5 linked regions of the Oryzias latipes genome follow. The protein of the gene in region 2 purifies or fractionates together with the protein of the main gene of each other region. This does not show direct contact. Links are inferred from orthologs where the notes say so. Each region holds a gene or a part of one and is shown on either strand. Other genes may lie near its edges. The genes, in order: ccnb1, foxm1, plk1, mybl2 and otub1.

Evidence for each region.
Region 1: the proteins of foxm1 (region 2) and ccnb1 purify together in Homo sapiens (affinity purification with western blotting; 4 studies listed by BioGRID, with this or other methods). This does not show direct contact. The link is inferred for Oryzias latipes from reciprocal best matches to the Homo sapiens genes FOXM1 and CCNB1.
Region 3: the proteins of foxm1 (region 2) and plk1 purify together in Homo sapiens (affinity purification with western blotting; 5 studies listed by BioGRID, with this or other methods). This does not show direct contact. The link is inferred for Oryzias latipes from reciprocal best matches to the Homo sapiens genes FOXM1 and PLK1.
Region 4: the proteins of foxm1 (region 2) and mybl2 purify together in Homo sapiens (affinity purification with western blotting; 3 studies listed by BioGRID and IntAct, with this or other methods). This does not show direct contact. The link is inferred for Oryzias latipes from reciprocal best matches to the Homo sapiens genes FOXM1 and MYBL2.
Region 5: the proteins of foxm1 (region 2) and otub1 purify together in Homo sapiens (affinity purification with western blotting; 4 studies listed by BioGRID, with this or other methods). This does not show direct contact. The link is inferred for Oryzias latipes from reciprocal best matches to the Homo sapiens genes FOXM1 and OTUB1.

What each region holds. Positions count from the first base shown.
Region 1 is NC_019870.2:25,679,519-25,683,534, forward strand, and holds the start of ccnb1 (G2/mitotic-specific cyclin-B1), read left to right. Parts: upstream 1-1,213; 5' UTR 1,214-1,301; coding exon 1,302-1,322; intron 1,323-1,561; coding exon 1,562-1,693; intron 1,694-2,181; coding exon 2,182-2,298; intron 2,299-2,779; coding exon 2,780-2,974; intron 2,975-3,047; coding exon 3,048-3,206; intron 3,207-3,343; coding exon 3,344-3,580; coding exon of another isoform or gene 3,581-3,640; exon of another isoform or gene 3,641-3,664; coding exon 3,665-3,805; intron 3,806-3,883; coding exon 3,884-3,994; intron 3,995-4,016. UniProt on the Homo sapiens protein: Essential for the control of the cell cycle at the G2/M (mitosis) transition.
Region 2 is NC_019881.2:18,848,114-18,852,383, reverse strand, and holds the start of foxm1 (forkhead box protein M1), read right to left. Parts: upstream 2,809-4,270; coding exon 2,367-2,808; intron 2,273-2,366; coding exon 2,124-2,272; intron 891-2,123; coding exon 699-890; intron 611-698; coding exon 482-610; intron 397-481; coding exon of another isoform or gene 337-396; intron 12-336; coding exon 1-11. Other genes in the region: rhno1 (RAD9, HUS1, RAD1-interacting nuclear orphan protein 1), read left to right, coding at 4,012-4,170. UniProt on the Homo sapiens protein: Transcription factor regulating the expression of cell cycle genes essential for DNA replication and mitosis. Plays a role in the control of cell proliferation. Also plays a role in DNA break repair, participating in the DNA damage checkpoint response.
Region 3 is NC_019859.2:22,726,358-22,730,587, reverse strand, and holds the start of plk1 (serine/threonine-protein kinase PLK1), read left to right. Parts: upstream 1-1,420; 5' UTR 1,421-1,822; coding exon 1,823-2,185; intron 2,186-2,530; coding exon 2,531-2,699; intron 2,700-2,884; coding exon 2,885-3,029; intron 3,030-3,117; coding exon 3,118-3,211; intron 3,212-3,301; coding exon 3,302-3,527; intron 3,528-3,633; coding exon 3,634-3,676; intron 3,677-3,751; coding exon 3,752-3,849; intron 3,850-3,937; coding exon 3,938-4,015; intron 4,016-4,102; coding exon 4,103-4,230. UniProt on the Homo sapiens protein: Serine/threonine-protein kinase that performs several important functions throughout M phase of the cell cycle, including the regulation of centrosome maturation and spindle assembly, the removal of cohesins from chromosome arms, the inactivation of anaphase-promoting complex/cyclosome (APC/C) inhibitors, and the regulation of mitotic exit and cytokinesis.
Region 4 is NC_019863.2:23,217,205-23,220,282, reverse strand, and holds the end of mybl2 (myb-related protein B), read left to right. Parts: intron 1-466; coding exon 467-566; intron 567-668; coding exon 669-779; intron 780-1,589; coding exon 1,590-1,706; intron 1,707-1,790; coding exon 1,791-1,922; intron 1,923-2,008; coding exon 2,009-2,137; 3' UTR 2,138-2,574; downstream 2,575-3,078. UniProt on the Homo sapiens protein: Transcription factor involved in the regulation of cell survival, proliferation, and differentiation. Transactivates the expression of the CLU gene.
Region 5 is NC_019876.2:28,621,205-28,625,403, reverse strand, and holds the start of otub1 (ubiquitin thioesterase OTUB1), read left to right. Parts: upstream 1-1,399; 5' UTR 1,400-1,460; coding exon 1,461-1,503; intron 1,504-2,175; coding exon 2,176-2,237; intron 2,238-4,199. UniProt on the Homo sapiens protein: Hydrolase that can specifically remove 'Lys-48'-linked conjugated ubiquitin from proteins and plays an important regulatory role at the level of protein turnover by preventing degradation.

The sequences.
Region 1 (4,016 bases), on a different chromosome or scaffold from region 2:
TCAATTTCAAACCTGCTGATCCTCTTTGAGGTCACTGGATCCTTTGGTGAAGGCTGTACACACTCCAGATGGGTTACCAGTCCATTGCAGGGCCACACAGTCACAGACATTGTGAATCATCAATTAACCTAAATATGTTTGCACATGCCTGAGTGCCAGGATAAAACCCACACATGCTTGGGGTAAACTTGTAAACTTGACTCAGAAAAGACCCGGCTGGGATGTGAGCCAGGCCCTACTGAGGCAAAAGAACAAATCACTACACCACTGTTCTACTTTAGTAGCGAATACAGGACTAATGAGCTTTTTTGTAAAAAGAAAAAGATATATATATATGCATTCTTTTGCACGGAGGGATTCAAACATGTTTTAACATAAAAAATGACAATAAACTGAGAAAATCATTAAGTGTCAGAATAAAATCATTTTTAGGGCAACATTCAATTCTATTAGCAATAAGTGGTAGACTTTGAGTTTATTTGATTAAGTATAACTGAGCATAACAAGTATAGCCGGTATACACATGTAGTGTAGGGAATATACTAACTGAATACATCTATAGACTAAATTGGAACATTTTAAGTTTACTATATATACATTTATCTTCTTCCGTTTTGTACCTTTTGGGGTCACAGGGCTGCCGAAGCCTTTCCACATGTTACGGGCAAAGGCAGGGGACACCCTGGACAGGTCGCCAGCCCAGTCTGTCTAAGTTTAAAATATATAGATATAAAAAGTAAACTTCAAGTCCACTGCCTCACTTTTAGCCTACTTGAAGTGCATTTAAGGATACTAAATTTTGTTAACCCTTAACAGATTTTGTACTTTCTACTATACATACATCCAACCTATAGCAGCATGCTTGGTAAAATGATGCTCAAGTATACTTAAAAAATAAGCTTCAGTGTACTGTTTGTTTTTGTAAAGGATTGTTTTTGAGATCCTCTTGATTCTTCTTCTTTTTGTTTTGCGTTAAAAAAGTGTTTTCCTTGTTTAGATGCAAACAATAAAGTAGTGTATGTTTTTATCTACAAATGTTTTTATTTTAATAGCTCTAGAAGAACGGAGTTAGATATCCGGGTAAGGGAAGTGACCTAAGAAGAGCGTGATCACGTGACCCAAAGTTGTCTTGGGAGCGCATCTGACACGTACTCGTTTATCCAATCAGAATCGCCGCAGCCGCCCAGCGCAGCCAATCGGTTTGCAGCGAGCGAGGATTTAAACCACGACTCGTGCGTTGGAATCTTCACCTTCTCCGCTTCAATTTCGTGGTTGTTTGTGGAAGAGAAGCAGGCAAAGGCATGGCTCTGAGAGTTACCAGGGTAAGTCTGAACCACGTTACACGTTCCTCTCTGTTTTTACCGGAAAAGAACGATTTCAGGAAGCGCGTCTTTCTCTGGTTTTAAATGTTTTGACGTGTTTTCTGACTGGACTGTCATGTGGCTGTATGTGAGCGGAAGCTAGAGGTCAAATATTGTTGGCTTGAATTTATTGAACGTGCTGCTTCACCACTGCAGGTTTATCTCGAGCGCGCCTTGTTTTGTCCGTTTTCTCGCTGCAGAACCGACTGGCCTCCACCCGGGCCGAACTGGGCGGAAAGACGTGCTCGGTGGCCGGGCCTACACAGAAGCCCCGCGCGGCCCTCGGAGAAATCGGAAACGTCGCAGTTATTAACAAAGATGTCACGAAAAAGGTAAAATCTTTTTTTTTTTTTTTTAAAAATCCTATATAAATGTATTTTCCACTTATCGAAGTAAAGTGATTAACCTTTTTTTGGGGCAAGTTTGGTGTAGAAGTGAGGGGTTGGGCCTGTTCTGATGAGAAAATGTCTACTGTGCTGAACTGGGGCCCTTAGTCAAGTATAAAATGCATCCCAGGTTGGAGGAGCACAGTTAACCTGGAACTATGTCTAAGAATGTACACCATCAATTGTAAATTTAAATCTTTGCTAAAAAAACAACAACTTGAGTTTGAATGCACATTTGTTAAGAGAAACTCTTGTTACTGCTGTACTATCAGCTCAATGCGCAGAGCTTCAAAACCTGTACAGCTAGGACTTGTGGCTTTGGCCTGCAGCTGTAGAGATTTCCCAAACTGTGCAAGAAGCAAAGAACTCAAATGAAAAGATCCCAGCTCTGTAAAATGCATAGCAGTATTTGGGTTTGACCTTTCTTTCTTCAGACTATCAAGACGGAGGTTGCTAAGAAGACAAAGATCCCAGCTAAAGCTGAGAAGATCGAGCTACCAAAAGCTGCTGTGGTCCCTGTTAAACCAGCACCTGAAGTGCAGGTGACTGAGGTGAGTTGGTGTCATTGGTTGTCACACACCTGGTTGGGACATTTGTCCTGCGTGGTTGACCCATCCTCTGGGGGCAGCAGTGAGCTCCAGGCATGGTTGTGCTTCGGAGCCATATGGTGGGTTAACCACTCCCAATCCAACCCCTTACAGACCCACTCTGATTGTGGCCTCTTTCTTATAAAAGATTCATCTAAAGAAAATGAGATTGAAATTTCATTTCTGATTACTTTATTCAAATGTTGTGAATTGAGAAAAAAAATGCTGTTTGTTTGGATAAGGGCTTATTTGTGAGGTAGAAAATCCCACCGGCAGGTCACCAGCTCCCTTCTGATGTGTCCACTTGAATCAAGCAGGGAGGCTTTGGTTCCATCCGAAGTCTTTGCTGTGACTCCACTGGTTTTGAACCCTCTGCCTACCAGTCTTGGGGCAGACGCTCTACCACTAGGGTGACGTGTAATGATTTGACATGACCTTCTCACAGGTGCCAGCCCAGGCTGAACGTGCATCCCCCACCCCCATGGAGACCTCTGGATGTGAGTCTGCTGACCTCTGTCAAGCATTTTCAGATGTCATCCTCAACACGGCCATCAGGGACGTGGATGCAGATGACTACGACAACCCCATGCTCTGCAGTGAATATGTTAAGGACATCTACAAGTACCTCCGTCAGCTTGAGGTCGGACTAAAACCCGGAAAGCTGCATTCCTGATGTGTGCCGTTTCCCTAAAGAGACGTTTGTTCTCCTGTAGATGGAGCAGAGCGTAAAGCCAAACTACCTTGAGGGTCAGGAGATCACCGGAAACATGCGAGCCATCCTCATTGACTGGCTGGTACAAGTGGGCCTCAAGTTCCGTCTGCTGCAGGAGACCATGTACATGACTGTGGGAATAATCGACCGCTTTCTTCAGGTGAGTCTGTCAGTGTTCCTCTACAGACTAGATGTGCTCCATAATTCAATAAAAAAAAATAATTTCATAACAGATGTCCTCTAACTGACTTGTGTGCTGAGATTTTTCTTTTATTTTGTCTGCGGTCCTTTCAACAGGACCATCCAGTCCCCAAGAAGCAGCTGCAGCTGGTTGGCGTGACCGCCATGTTCCTGGCCTCCAAATACGAGGAGATGTACCCTCCGGAGATCTCAGACTTTGCCTACGTGACGGACAGGGCTTACACCACTGCTCAGATCAGAGACATGGAAATGACTATTCTGCGAGTGCTGAAGTTTCAGCTGGGCCGCCCCCTCCCGCTGCAGTTCCTCAGAAGGGCCTCCAAGATCTATGAGGTGTGGCGCGGTGTCGGTGCGGCAAACTGTTCTCTTCCACCACTGCATGTGCTGAGGTGAAGGTGGGATTTTATTTTTCTTCAGGTAACTGCTGAACAACACACCCTGGCCAAATACCTGCTGGAGCTCTCCATGGTTGACTACGACATGGCTCATTTCCCGCCCTCATTGGTGGCGAGTGCAGCTCTGGCGCTGACTCTCAAGGTCCTGGATGCAGGGGAATGGGTGAGTGACACTTGAAGGGTTTGCTCTCATCGCTGACTTGCCTGGGACAGCATTGGATATGAATGTCTTCCTTCCCAGGATGTGACACTGCAGCATTACATGGAGTACACAGCAGAGACCCTGACACCTGTTATGGCGCACATCGCTAAGAATGTCGTGAAAGTCAACAATGGGCAAACTAAACACATGGTAATCTTTTATTTTTTAATCC
Region 2 (4,270 bases):
TTCTTCTGAGACTGGAGAGAAACAAAAAAAAATGTAGATTCGAATTGATTCATAAAGTTTAACTTTCAGACGACACATTCTGGATGAAGAGAATCCACTGCTTCCTTTTCATTTTCTGCCCCTGCTGTACTGAGTGGACAATGGCAAAGAAACAACACAGCTTTCAAAGCAAACCTGCAAGAATAAATAAACTTACGATGCTCAAATGTCCACATAAAGCTAACTTCAAAGACATTAAAGGTTATTAAAGGTAAACAGGTTGAAGAAACACTTAAGCTTCTGTCCCTTTCAGCTTCCTGCTTGCAAAGTTCTGTTAGACTGAAGATGCCGTCTTACTTGGTTGGGAAATAAAAGCATTGGAACAGGAACTGGAGCAGTCACTGGATCACATCCAGGCTTTAAAAGGTGAAAAACACAGCAAAACATTAAAGGAAACTGTTAGACGTGTCTGCAAACCACTGAAAAACGCCGCCGTGCTCACCTTGTATACCTGATCTAGAGTGAGGCATCGGTTGGCCTCAGGCCGGATGGTCCAGAAGGAAACTTTCCCATCGGGCGCCGTCTCGCGAACAAACATGTCGTGCAGAGAAAGGTTGTGGCGGATTGAATTCTGCAAATGGGAATTTCAGAACAGATATAAACGCTTGGATCAAAAAAATGGGAGCCTTGAATAAACAAAAGTCTGGATTTTTTTTTACCTTCCATCCGGGTTTGGCCACCTGTCTGTAATACGGAAAATGGTCCTCGATCCAAGTGTAGATCTCTTTCAGGGTCATCCTCCGGTTTTTCCTGCTGTTGATGGCGAACTGGATCATGGCCATGTAGGAATACGGCGGCCTCCCTGACAGGGGCTGCTGGCAAGGTTTCGTTTCTGGAGGTACGCTGGCTGCCTATGATCAAAAGAAAAAACGCGAATGAGGGTGAATTTCAGCCGTGAAAATGACTGCAAGAACACGGAAGACAAACTCGAGAAATTCTTTTCTGGAAGATGTGGCTTCAGGTTGAAACACATACAGACAGTATGTAACGGGAACGCTGTCCCCTCCCTCAGACGAGAGAACTTGTGGCCAGCTTAGAATATTTTCTACGTCACAAATGAGCTCTTTTTTCAGTCTGCTCCTGATTCACAACAATTTGAATGAGGATATACTCAGAAATGCAATTGTAAGCTTAATTTTCCCTATATATGTCCTCTAGCTTCAGAAAATTGAGACAATAACATGGTAAAAACTATTTTTTTTATCGGAGTGGGTCTTTAAGCAGTCTTCGGGTTTCTTTCTGTTCGGGTACTGCGGAGCTGAACAGCAGCTTCAAAACGGTCAAAAATATTAAAAAGGAAATTATTACACCTCACCATTTACTGATCTAAAGATGCAAAAATTGACGGTTAATTTAGCATTAACAAAAAAAAACACAACTATAGAATTTCCCCTAAGATGGAAAAGGACAAATCACAAAAGGAAGTGACTATTTGCATGAAATTAGAGTGTCAGGGTTAAAATATGTGCATGAATTTCCATCAGATTTTGAATGTAAACACATTCAAAAAAGATCAGCCATCAGAGAATATATAGCAATATCTACAGTGAATAAAGCAAATCCTGTTGATATGCATCTATATCATTAATACATACATACAAATATATGGGTAAAATCAAAGCCTTTGTAATCTATACATAGTAATAAACATCATAATTGAGCTACTTAAGTCACAAATATACAAAGTTAGCATCTATTTATGGAGCATTGCAATAAATGTTCTTGTAAATTATGTCATGCAACACTATTTAAATCACCATTCAAGCATATATAATTCATCAAAGTTTCAGTTCAGATGGTGGGTAATAGTATCTATTTTTCTCTCACAAAAAACTTACGTTTTGTCAAAATCTTCAGCAAAGAGCAGCTTTAGAATAAAATGAAAACGTGTGACTAAACCTCACAAATGGTGAAAAATCACAGCATGGTGACATTTTCCTCAGGCAGACGGGTTACTGTTCAATTTTAGGAAACGTGCCACAACATTGCCTCAGACTTGTGTTCCTGTCACACAAGAATCTGTTTGCACACTGGCAGCAAAAGTCACAACCGTGTGGAAGGAAAAAAAAAGACAAACAGCTGACCTGAGCAGTCTGAGACACGGGAGCCTGGTTCTCCTTGCCTTGTATTTGCTTTGCAGGCTCTGACTCTAGAGCACATGTGTTCATTTTGCCCAGCCACTGGATGTTGGTGAGGCTGTCATCCAAAGGGCCGCTATTCCCATCTTTACTCACTGAAAAAAAATTATATATATATATTGAAGCAGGTATTTCAGTTAAATGTAGCATTTCTGACATAAAATTTTAAACTCTGTGCAAATTCCTTACAGGGTTTAATGCCAGTCACATCAAGGGATGTGTGAGTGCTTTCTTTTGTTGCTGGTTCTTGAGATGGGATTTGTGTGGAAACAGCATCTCCTCCAGAAGTAGCAGTCTCACAGAAAGATCCGGCTTGATCCTGATTGCCATTGTCACTCAGGAGAATAAACTTGCTCGGACCCTGAACTCCGCTGTCTTTGCCTTTAGCGGCGAGGACACTAATTACACTCTGAACGTCTGTAGCTTTGGGAATGACCACAACCTGAGTGTCTGACAGGGATGGGTGGCCTATAAAGCGGACCCCGTCTGGGAAGCACGAACTGTCGCTGGAATTTGACGGCTCTTTGGAGCCACCGGACTGCCTGGATGGGTCTGCTGGGGTGGGTTCCTTTTGTTGAAAAGGTAACTTGCGCCTTTTGAGGATCAGGGGTCTCCTTGGGCTCCGTCTCATGGTTCAAATCATCCAAAGGGCCTTAGGTGTTCAATGGAAATCTGTGGGGAGGGGGAAAAGGTCTTGAGCTACAGTTATGGCTCAAAAAGTACTCAGAAGTTAAACACCTTATCAATACATTACGTTACAACGTTTAAATACTGACTTTAACGATAACCCCGAACTAGTGAGCCTGAAAACAACATACCTGCTAATAGAATACGAAGTAATCGGTCAAAAATGATGTTTCAATCCTATGATATCGTCTTCAAACTTAAAGAAACCCGATTATTGCTGTCTGTTTGCTGCAAAAGTCCCAACAGTCCCTCGCTCGAAAGTGAAGATTTTATTCGGTTCCCTTGGCGACATGCCAGTCGTTATAATTTTCAGTTGATGATAGGTTTAATTTCAATAACGTCTATCTAGTGGATATTCAGTGCAACATATATTTACATGTTAACACAATGCAATCAATAAAACAAAAAATAAATTCAAAAAATAACATGCGCCTAGCCAATGTCCCGATTAGCGTATAGTTTCCTTTATTTACAGCTAGGCTAAGCTAGCTATGCTAAAGCTGTTTGACGATGGAGGAAACAAGTGGAAAAATGAAGCCAGACCTTCACATTACTGAATTACTGCAGCGTTTCATTCAATTCCAGGCTTGGTTCGGCTTTCAATTCCACTTGTCGGATCAAAGAAAACATTTAAAATATTCACAAAACCGACGTATTTAGTAGTAATTAGATACAAAAAGTCAATCCATAAACAGTTTTGAATTTTGGCGCTGTGGGCGCTGCCCCGACTGTCACTTTGATCACATGGTAACAATGGACCAATAGTAAACGCAGAAAAAAACACTGGGCGGCTCAATAGGTGGCGCTGTGGGCCGCAGCTCGAGATGGCCAGCCGCTAACCCGAAGAAGACAAAGAAAAAATCCGGGAAATTAAAAGTAACAACAACACGGACAAGCTAAGATAAAAAGGTCTGAATGAACCGAAAAATAAGGGAACGTTTTTATTCCGTATTCCGTACATGGACACATAATCACGGAAAAAGCACAATATGGTAAGTAAAGAACGCGTTTCAAAAGTAAACACTTGAATGCGAATATGTAAACAGCCTCGATCTACGACTAAAGCTATGTGTATTGTTAACAAGATTACTCGATCGGATTTGTCTCTTGTTTGTTTTGAACAGATGCTTAAGATTGATTTAAATTGATGCCCCGGAAAGCGGCAAAGACAGACAAGCCTGCACTGCAATTCCTGGAGCGACCTGTGAGTGGCGCCAGACTTCAAAATGTGCCTGAAGTCAGAGCTGCTCTCAATCCCAGAGAGTTTTTCTCCAAGACACACAGCTCTTCAGCTCTCAGTTCCTGGGTAAAAGTCTTTTAAATATATAAAAATATATAAAACATTACAAATATAGATTTAGTTGATTAGATAACTGGCAAAAAAGTCTACTTAACTATAAATTTCC
Region 3 (4,230 bases), on a different chromosome or scaffold from region 2:
CAAACTACTGAACTGTATTCCTTTACAACCTCTGATGGTTTATAAACGGTGTGTTTGTAGCCTTAGGATGCACCGGTGCAAGCAAGTCCCCGCAGTCTTCAGGTAAGCATCCCCTCAACAAGCTGTGTTTTGAGTTAGTGTCCCATAACCATTCCCCCTTTACACTCTTAACCCAAATTAATTTACCACAAAATGTTGATCAGCCAGCAACCAGCAATCTATTAACTGGTTACCCCAACTACCATGCAGTGGTGGATAAAGAAAAAAAGAAATGAAAACCTTAGGGGAAAAACAACTTTTTTTTTTTTTTTTAGCTTGGCATGTTGAAACCAAACAGTACAGTCAATATCCAAATGTAAAAAATTGGGAATCTTCATGTATTCTGGAGTTATTATTTAAGTATAGGCATCAACAGGTTAACCATCATGATCAGAAAGTGAAAGTCCTTAATTTCATCATGTTAACATCTTGTCAAATAAACAATAATCTTGGTATCACAAAAACGATGTGACTTTTTTTTAGTGTGGCAAGACAGATTAAACCATTACTGCAGGTTTACTTTCTCATATTGCTTTTGTTACACTATATTTTACTGCTTCTCACCATTTTATGCTTTCCAGCATAAATAATCTTTCAAGTTAAACCCTGAGGCTTTTTTGCTCAAAATCCTTTTTGAATTTCAACCAATCTAGAGTGAAAAATATCCTCCTCACTACCGGCAATAAAAACTTGTCCCCATAGTGGACATTTCTAGACCTGAAAATTATTCAACCACTGCAATTACTGAATGAACTCCTTTTGGTATCTACAGAGGGCATTTGTGGCTTTTCAATGATTACAATGATACACTTAGAATGCCGATAGCACTGTCTGAGAATTTGGTTTGAAACAGTATTTAATGGTTGTTCTAACAGAGTAGAAATTAAAAGAAAACATGAGAAGAAAGCAAACACTCACATGTTTCTCAATTTATGAAAAGTTGAAAGTTTTTCAAGGAAGTGTGGCGCAAGATGAGTGTACACAGTCAGCATGGCAATCAATAAAAATAAAAGTGTATAACCTGAACCAACAATGTCTGTCAATAAAAATCCATCCAAAAAGTGAAAATGACAAATTCATAAAAAACTCATAGTCTAACAAAGATTAAATAAACTTCATATGATCCTCTGCATTCATGTAATATTAGTGTTCAACTAATAACATGAACCTAAATGATCGATATTGGATCAGGAGTGGCCATAATTCGGATAACGCTAATAACAAAACACTTTCGAAATTAAATCCTTTTCCCGACTACATTTCCCATCCGTCTTTCTCGAGGAAACAAAAACAGCCTTTCAGCCAATCAGATTGTTGGAGGCCTTCTACTCTACTCCTGATTGGCTATTTTTGTACACATGTTCCCAAGATGCTTTGCTGTGACGCTGTGGAATTCAAATCTAGCAGACCAATCAACGATCGCCAAAACGACCGAGCCAGCATTTTAAATTTGTACGAGACACTTGTTATCGAAAAGGCAGAACGGGACAAGGCAACCGCTGCCGGGGAAGTCTGCGCAAGAATTCTGCCTCCGGTTTTTTTTTTAATTAATTTATTTAATCTTGGGACCTGTCGGCCTTTAAATGTTAGTCAACGTTTGCGGTTTAGATCGTTTGTTAGTATTTGCTGTAAATTGAGGCGTAGAAAAAGTTAGCTTCGAAGGCTAAACTAACGTCGGTTGAGTTGGAGGGTTAAACAACACTTTAGCCCTTGTTTAATAACTTTTGCGTTTCGACTTCTTTGGAGTTTTATTAACGCGGAAAGAGCACTTTTAAAGTACACCATGAGTGCTGCTATCGCAAAGCCGGCGCAGCCGTCCGGACACGTCGACCCAAAATCGGCTCCTCTGAAAGAAATCCCAGAGGTTTTGGTGGATCCCCGCACCCTGAGGAGATACTCCAAGGGCAGGTTCCTCGGCAAGGGGGGCTTCGCCAAATGCTTCGAAATTACAGACATGGAGACCAAGCAGGTTTTCGCTGGCAAAATAGTGCCCAAGTCGTTGATCCTGAAGCAGCACCAAAGGGAGAAGATGAGCTCGGAAATCTCCATTCACAAGAGCCTCAATCATGCTAACATCGTGGGCTTCCACGGCTTCTTTGAGGACGACGACTTTGTCTATGTGGTCCTGGAGATCTGCAGGAGAAGGGTGAGGATTTTGGGAACTCTAAATGAAAATACATGAAGGCCAACGGTTAACAATGTGGCCTCTTCCGTTACCCCCCCCCCCCCCCCTCCTTTGGCATAGTGCTGGGAGACTCAAATCCCCTGATCACTGCTTTAAATCACTGTTACTTATCCTAAACCAGTAACTTTTTGTAATTTAAAACTATAGAGATATCTAAATTCTTTTTCCCCTTTGTGTTGTTCCACGTGTTGTTTTTAACACTTCTTGAGGTGCCACTTCACTTCATCCAGCTTGTTCATGCTCTCCCAGCCTCCATTTTCCTCCACTGAGTTCAGCCGCTCACCAGAACTGTTGTCCTTTTTCAAGTCCCTGTTGGAGTTGCACAAGCGCAGGAAGGCGGTCACGGAGCCGGAGGCTCGCTACTACATGACCCAGCTGCTGAAAGGGGTCCATTATCTGCACAGCAACAAGGTCATCCACAGAGACCTGAAACTGGGGAACATCTTCCTCAACGACGACATGGAAGTCAAGATAGGTATGGAGAGCAGGAAACCTGTCGGTGTAGTGACAAAGAAACGGGCACACCCATGTTCTTGATATGCTCCCATAACTTCCTTGTTGAGAACTTCCAGCTCCAATTTGTTAACACCCATATTTGGCTTCTTAATATCCTTTACTCAGATTAAACGCTGATCATTTCTTTCTTTCCTTTTTTGCTAGGTGACTTTGGTTTGGCCACAAAGATTGAGTTTGATGGTGAACGGAAGAAGACCTTGTGTGGAACGCCCAACTATATCGCTCCGGAAGTGCTGTGCAAGAAAGGCCACAGCTATGAAGTGGATGTCTGGTCACTTGGGTGCATATTGTAAGTGTGTAAACCCACAGTGGAGTGGGGAAGAGTGTCATTCCACAGGATTCTGGATACTCAACTTCCTTCCTGTATCCTCTCATAGGTACACTTTGTTAGTCGGCAAGCCTCCGTTTGAAACCTCATGCCTGAAAGACACATACAACCGGATCAAGAAGAACAATTACACCATCCCCTGGGTGAGAAGAGCTGACGTTAATCCCTAAATGTACGTAATAGTTGGTGAAAGAAAATCTTAAGTTTACCGTCACTTCACTTGAATGCTGCAGCAAATCAACCCGTCAGCCTCGGCTCTCATCAAGAGGATGCTGCATGCCGATCCTGCCCAGAGGCCCACCATCACTGACCTGCAGACGGATGAGTTCTTCACATCGGGATACGTCCCCCTGCGGCTGCCCACCACTTGTCTCACTGTGCCCCCGCGGTTCTCCATTGCCCCCTCCATGGCTGCAGAGCTCAGCCAGAGGCGCCCCCTGACTGCCATAAACAACAAAGGTAACAAACCCAACAATTGCCCAAAACTGGTGCACTGATAATGAAAGTCTGCAGTTAATCAACAGTGATATTGATGGAGGTTTTTTTTATATATTTTTTTTCTCAGCCGGCACAGAGAAGGTGGACATGAAAGACGAGCCTGCTCCACTGTGAGACATCACACTAAGGTCTAAAACATGCGTCGTAGTTTGATCAAAAATGATAAATGGGAATTTTGTGTGCAGAGAGGCGGAGCCAGAAGAATGTTACCTGAAGGACATGCTGCAGCAGCTCAACAGCATCATCTCTGCCAAGCCTTCAGAGAAGGCGGTCATTCGGCAAGGTGAGAGCAGCCGCCTGCAGGAACTACCTAAACTTTCTGCAGTTTTAGTCAGTCCTTCTTACAGAAAACCCCTTGTCTTTGATTTCAGAGGAAGCAGAGGATCCTGCGTGTATTCCCATCTTTTGGATCAGTAAATGGGTCGACTACTCTGACAAATATGGATTAGGTAAATTCTAAATCTTAGGACAGGTTTGCCTTTTATTGTCTTGCTTTTAATGGAGAATTAAGGGTGTGCTGTAAATTGCTTTCGCAGGATACCAGCTTTGTGACAACAGTGTTGGTGTTCTATTCAACGATTTCACCCGACTCATCATGTATGCTGATGGCGACAGTCTGCAGTACATTGACAAGAAGGCTGCTGAGTCCTATTTAAGCGTTCGC
Region 4 (3,078 bases), on a different chromosome or scaffold from region 2:
AGCGGAGCAAATCTCTTGAATGTTGCTCCTGCCGTTTTCTTTTAGCAGACTTGGTGTCATATAAGTCAGTCCGGGCCCAAACCGCAGTTACTCGTTTCTCCTCTGTGAGCAGTTTTCAAACGGTTGGTACTTTCATGGATTAAAACGGACGCCATCCATTCGTCACGACCAAATCTAGTCCCCTGATTGGTCAAAGTTCAACTGGTGTAACTTTCAACAGGCGTTCAGTGGATGCACGTTTTGTACATAGAGCCTGAAAAGAGTTTTGAGAGCGGAAGCCGGACATTTACATAGACTTTTCATTGGAAGTGGGAACTTGAACGCGCGTCGCTGAGAGGGGGGTGGGGGGGGGGGGGTGGTGAATGAAGCTTCAAAGTGGAAAATGTATTCAGAATATCTCAAAATACACAGTTATATGAATTAAAGGGCTTTTTGGGGTCTGATTATTTACTCTGTTGTTGTTTAGGTTTGTTACTCCAAACCACAAGTCTGAGCTCTGCACGACGCCACGAACTCCAACCCCGTTCAAAAATGCTCTGGAGAAGTACGGACCCCTGCAGCCGCTGGTGGGAGCACAACCTGTTTCTGTTGGGTTTTACTTTCATTTATTAAAAACATTTCCGTATTCACTTAAATGTTGTTGTTTTTTTTTTTTGTTTGTTTCTTAGCCTCAAACTCCAAACCTGGAAGACGACATCAACGAGGTCATCCTGAGGGATTCTGGGATGGAGCTGGTTGTCGTGCGCTCAACTCCACCTGATCAGAAACGCAAAATGATGGTAGATTGAAAAAAGATTCACGCAAACTTCATTCACTTTTAGAATTCTTTTCTTGTGGCAGAAAAACTGGTGCTTATTCAGACTTTAAAATAAATAAATCACCTTGGACCAGCGACAAATGTATACTCATACTCATTTTTGGGATTTCCATCTATCGCCTCCTAACTCCTCAAGCATCATTGGGCAACTACTTGGAAATTCCGTGGCGAGCTCACAAAGATCCCTTTCCCCTGTTGCTCAAACATTTTTACCGGGATATTGTAAAAATTCAATCCATTAGTTGTTGGCTGAAGCTGAACGAAATGATATAACAAACAATATGAAAAAATTAAAAATGTGGATGTGCTTAGCAAAAAAAAAAAAAAAAAACTCTGTCGGCAAGGAAATCCAGAAATTTACTTTAGTCGATTCTTCTAAAAATTACTTGGACATGTTCCTTATCCCCAAGGAACCAAAAAGTTAAATAGTTGCTATGGAGATAAATCCAACAGTTTCATGCAACTGAGCTGTTTCATGCAGCTCCGACCAAAGTGGCAGCAGCAGGGGGATGGAGTGAGGGCTGTGTAGCAGCTGCTCAGCAAGTGAGGGCAGGTCAAAAGGGGGCGTTGAGGGCGGGGTCTCACTACGCTGCTTACGGGCTTCTGTTTTTTATATTTGATGAAAAAAATCTGATGGATTAAAATATTTGGTTGTGGTTTTCAGTTTTGGGAAATATAAATGGTCAAATTCAAGTGAGTTAATAGAAAAAAAAACAAATTAAGCTGCTGTAAAAGTAATCTTTCCCTTTGCTTCTTGGATTCTCTGCATCAGCATCGTCCTCCTATGAAGAAAGTGCGGAAATCTCTGGCTCTGGACGTCATGGACTGTCAGCTGGGGCACTCGTCCAAACGCAAGTCCATGAGGCCTGACGTCAGACTCAGCATGACGGTGAAGCCTGCGCACACTAGTTATGTCATCCATGCAGGTTCAACCGATGCTCATTCTTTGCTCCGTCTTGTGGTCTCGCCTCAGGAAGAACCCATTCTCGTCTCTCTGAACTCCTCGTCGTTCTGCAGCAAACGGCGCGAGAACATCCTTGATCAGGGCTTCCTGCTGGGGCCCAGCGACAGCGCCATATTTCCCACTCCAGTGCCCCCCGCTCCTGTAAGTCCTCACTTACTGGAGAATGTTTACAAAAACAAAACAAAAAAGAGAATCATGATTCATTTTATGCTTATTTTCTCCCCCAGATGTCCAAAGAGTGGGAGAAGGTTGTTTGTGGACAAACCAAAGACCAGCTCATCATGACGGAGAAAGCCAGGCGCTACCTTCGCTCCCTGAAAAATCATCCACCCAACCGGGCTCTGATCCTGTCCTGACCCCTCCAGAAGACTTTTCTTGATGTTCTTTGATTGTAGTAAAGAAAACGGTTTAGAGTTAGTAATGTTTTGGGGGGGGCGGGAATCAGACTACAGCCTCGTGGCTCAGCTGACAGAACGGATGCCAATTTAGTGTTTTGAGAAAAGAATAAAAAAGAATGTTTACAAAAGATCAGGGGTAAAAACTTGATCAAATAGGTGGTTGTCATGGTCTTGTGAGTCTGGAGGTAATTTCTAGTTCAGCAGAAGAGCTGCGTTTACGCTAGGTGACTGTAGAGTTCTTTCAGATTTGTCTAAATAGGGCTCACGTATTCCTGTTCCTGCAGAATTTTGATGCGACTGCAACAATGTTTTATAAAGTCATTGTAAATATTCTGTGTATTTTTAAATAAGAAAATAACAATAATATGTTCAATGCAAATAAATGCTTCAGGAACAAACTTGTGGGCTTCATACAATGATTCGAAATCTATGAAAAACCTCAACTGTTAAATTGAGTTTTGAAGCAGTGATGTCATTCTTTCTTTCTGACAAGTGATCTGAGCTGCATCTTTCTAACAGAATTTTGGAGAAAAGGCATGACTGCTTTTCTTGAATCTCATCCAGACCATGAAACTTCTCGAGTTTTGCTGTGTTTTTGAGATGCTTAAAAACTGATTTAGTTCTGGTGTCTAAGTCTAAGGTCTTAAGTCTTTTATGACAAAGATTGATTTCTTAAAGTCCCATTCCAGTCACCTTCTGATCTATTTTCAAAGCGCTCCCAGCACTCTTAATTGTAAATATGCAGTTTTAGGCAAAATTAGAAAACCTTTGTTGTTTTCTGGGACACAGTTTCTGCAGAGCGGCAGGAGTTCATTAAGACCATTTCAGTTGTGGGCGGGACAACTGGCACGGAGCAACCCTGTGAGGAAAACAAAGACATGAATGTAGTTGACTACAAG
Region 5 (4,199 bases), on a different chromosome or scaffold from region 2:
AGTTCATTAGTGATTCAGGCATCAATGATGTCATCTGAACGTGATCTGTGCGCCGTGTACGTGATCTAAAAGTTACACATCAGTGGTTCATGCATGAAAAGTCTGTTAGACAAACGTGGAACGCTCCTGGAAAGACACACATTTGTGTATCTCACAAAAATCACACGTAATTGCAGAAGATTTATGTAATAATTGCGTATAAACTACGTAAATTGCGTAATTCTCAACCGACCAAAAATTTTTAACAGAACAAAACTGAATTCACGTTAAAACCCGTCGTCTGAAACCCTCGAGGGACATCTGAACACATCGACAAACGCAAGAAACATTTATGAATGACGTAGATCAGTGGTCCCCAACCCCCGGGCTCCCGGATATCTGCCCGCTCCGGGGGTCATTTGGGGTCATTTGGTACCGGGCTGCAGAGAAAGAATATATAACTTGCATTACTTCTGTTTTATTTATTTCGGAATCTGAAAGATGTTTTATTTTGAAAAATTGCCCAATTCTTTGGTACATCAGTCTATGTCATTTTTGACGCATTCCAAGGCGCTCTTCTCGGTCACGTGTTAAGTTACCGCTAAAATAAAATCCAGGAACTAGCAAAATGAGTAAAAAACAAAATGTCTTTGGAAAGTTTCTTTGCCGAGGGGAAAATGCCCAGCCAGGAGAAAGAAGAAGAGCCTTCAACTTCCAAAATAAGAAAGCTAAATTTAATAGACAGTACCTTTTTTTGCACCACGAGAGTGTGGGAAGGGGAGATGATGATGAGACCTGTGCGATGTCAACTTTTAAGCGAGTCAAACTAAAAGCACAGAGTTCGTCTTGTCACGTATTTGATCCTCCCTCATCCTAGTATTGCTACAATAATCATCCGCCTATACTTGAAATACCGGTCCGTGAAAGTTTGTGTGATGTCATACCGGTCCGTGGCATGAATACGGTTGGGGACCACTGACGTAGATCACGCATGGATCACGGAGGACTGAGATTTCATACACTGAAAATGCACAAAATGTACGTGGTGGTTGTTTGACACGACCTTAAGACTACAGCTTTATAAATTAAGTGGGGGGGGGGGGGGGTTCCTCCTTTTTTCCAATTTATAAACGGATGGTTTCATAATTTGAGAAGTCCAAGTCTGTGAGGACGTCACATCCTCAAGTAAAAAATAATTTGTATTTTTGTTTTATTTTTTCTGTACCTGTCAGAGTTTTTGAGTGAATGGCGGGTCAAATTTAGGAAGAATTGTGAGACAAAAATGGTCTTTTCAGTCCAGGACAAAGTTATTGTTCCGGTGACACTATTGTTGTTTCTCCTGTGTGTGTAGTATAAAAAAACAACAACAGTTTGTGTTGACTTTATCGTGTTTGTGTGTTTTAAAAAGAGCAAAGCGGCCGCCCGGAAGTGCGTCATCGCTGAGGTCATGAAGAAGGAGGAAACAGATTTCCACAGCTAAGATGGCGGAGGAACAGCAGGAATCATCACAGGGAGAGATGGAGGGTGAGAGGAGCCCCTGTGGCACGAAAAACCCCGCGTGCCGACCTGTCAGTTCTGCCGAACATCCGGACCGGATGTGACCGGAGCTCCGAGCGGGATGATGTCCGCCCGATGCTCCGGTAGACTGAAGTGTAAACGGGTCGCAGCTGCTCGGCTAACGATAACCGAGCCACACAAAGGAAACGCTGTAGTGCAGCGGCCGACCGATAGCCCCCCTCCCCCAGTGCCAGAGCTCGATGAGGACCCGTCGGAGGCCAGAACCCATGCAGACTCTGCAGGACGGATGTCTTTTCGTTGATAATTAGTTTTGTTTTGACGCAGCATCATCATGAGCTAAACCCTTTAGCTGTCTGTCTGTCTGTGTCTGTCACAGAGACAGACAGACAGCGGTACCGGTTCTGATGGGTTCAGACGACATCCAACTTGTTTTTGAACCCTCATCAGCATCCTGTGCTGCTACCCTTTGACTCGCGTTTCGTGAGTTTTTTTTCCCCCAAAAACGCGCGCGCCGACTTTGTTTTTATTTCCCAACCAGTGCAGCGGACGATGCAGAGACGATCTTTGAATCTGCTTTGTACTTTGGAGTGGCTCTAGGTTCTAGAGAGTTCTGTGGTGCTGTTGTTGTGGCTGCTGCTGCTGCTCTCAGGTAAAGCTAAAAGCGCTCGTGTCTTCCAGGTGTGAACTGCCTCGCGCATGATGAGGCCATCATCGCTCAGCAGGACCGGATCCAGCAGGAGGTGAGGAAACCCCATCACTGGACCGGGCTCAGATGCTGAGCTCGGTACTGGTCTGATGTCTGTGATGATCACGTCTGGATCTTCACGTTTCAGAGAGTTGAAGTTTAAGAAAATCTTTAAATGGAATGAGGAAAACTCTAGATTTGCCATTTTAGTGATCTATATTGCGTTGACGATGGAACTTGCAATACATGAACAAATAGCAAAACAACCGAAAACATTATTTCTATTCCACTGCAACAGTTCATTTAAGTAAGGGCCAACATGCATTATACTTAAAATGACACTCATCTACATAGGAGGCAGAAATTGACATGAAAGGGCTCCATCCGATTGGTCAACAACGTGAATGCGTCCAATGATTGGTCAACAACGTGAATGCGTCCAAATGCTTGGTCCACAACGTGAATGTGTCCATCCGATTGGTCAACAACGTGAATGCGTCCATCCGATTGGTCAACAACGTGAATGCGTCCATCCGATTGGTCAACAACGTGAATGCATCCAATGATTGGTCAACAACGTGAATGCGTCCAAATGCTTGGTCAACAACGTGAATGCGTCCAAATGCTTGGTCAACAACGTGAATGTGTCCATCCGATTGGTCAACACTGAATTTGTCCAAATAATTGGTCAACAACGTGAATGCATCCAAATTCTTGGTCAACAACCTGAATGCACCAATGATTGGTCAACAACGTGAATGTGTCCAAATAGTTGGTCAACACCGTGAATGTGTCCATCCGATTGGTCAACAACGTGAATGCGTCCAAATGCTTGGTCAACATCGTGAATGAGTCCATCCGATTGGTCAAAAACGTGAATGCGTCCAATGATTGGTCAACAACGTGAATGCGTCCAAATGTTTGGTCAACAACGTGAATGTGTCCATCCGATTGGTCAACAACGTGAATGCGTCCAAATAATTGGTCAACAACCTGAATGCGTCCAATGATTGGTCAACAACGTGAATGTGTCCATCCGATTTGTCAACACTGTGAATATGTCCAAATAATTGGTCAACATCGTGAATGTGTCCATCCGATTGGTCAACACTGAATTTGTCCAAATGATTGGTCAACAACGTGAATGCATCCAAATGCTTGGTCAACAACGTGAATGTGTCCATCCGATTGGTAAACACTGTGAATTTGTCCAAATAATTGGTCAACAACGTGAATGCGTCCAATGATTGGTCAACAACGTGACTGCGTCCAATGACTGGTCAACAACGTGAATGTGTCCATCCGATTGGTAAACACTGTGAATTTGTCCAAATAATTGGTCAACAACGTGAATGTGTCCATCCGATTGGTCAACACTGAATTTGTCCAAATAATTGGTCAACAACGTGAATGCATCCAATGATTGGTCAACAACGTGAATGCGTCCAATGATTGGTCAACAACGTGAATGTGTTCATCCGATTGGTAAACACTGTGAATTTGTCCAAATAATTGGTCAACAACGTGAATGCGTCCAATGATTGGTCAACAACGTGAATGCGTCCAATGATTGTTCAACAACGTGAATGTGTCCATCCGATTGGTAAACACTGTGAATTTGTCCAAATAATTGGTCAACAACGTGAATGTGTCCATCCGATTGGTCAACACTGAATTTGTCCAAATAATTGGTCAACAACGTGAATGCGTCCAATGATTGGTCAACAACGTGAATGCGTCCAATGATTGGTCAACAACGTGAATGTGTCCATCCGATTGGTAAACATTGTGAATTTGTCCAAATAATTGGTCAACAACGTGAATGTGTCCATCCGATTGGTCAACACTGAATTTGTCCAAATAATTGGTTAACAACGTGAATGCATCCAAATGCTTGGTCAACAACCTGAATGCGTCCAATGATTGGTCAACAACGTGAATGTGTCCAAATAGTTGGTCAACACCGTGAATGTGTCCATCCGATTGGTCAACAACGTGAATACGTCCAAATGCTTGG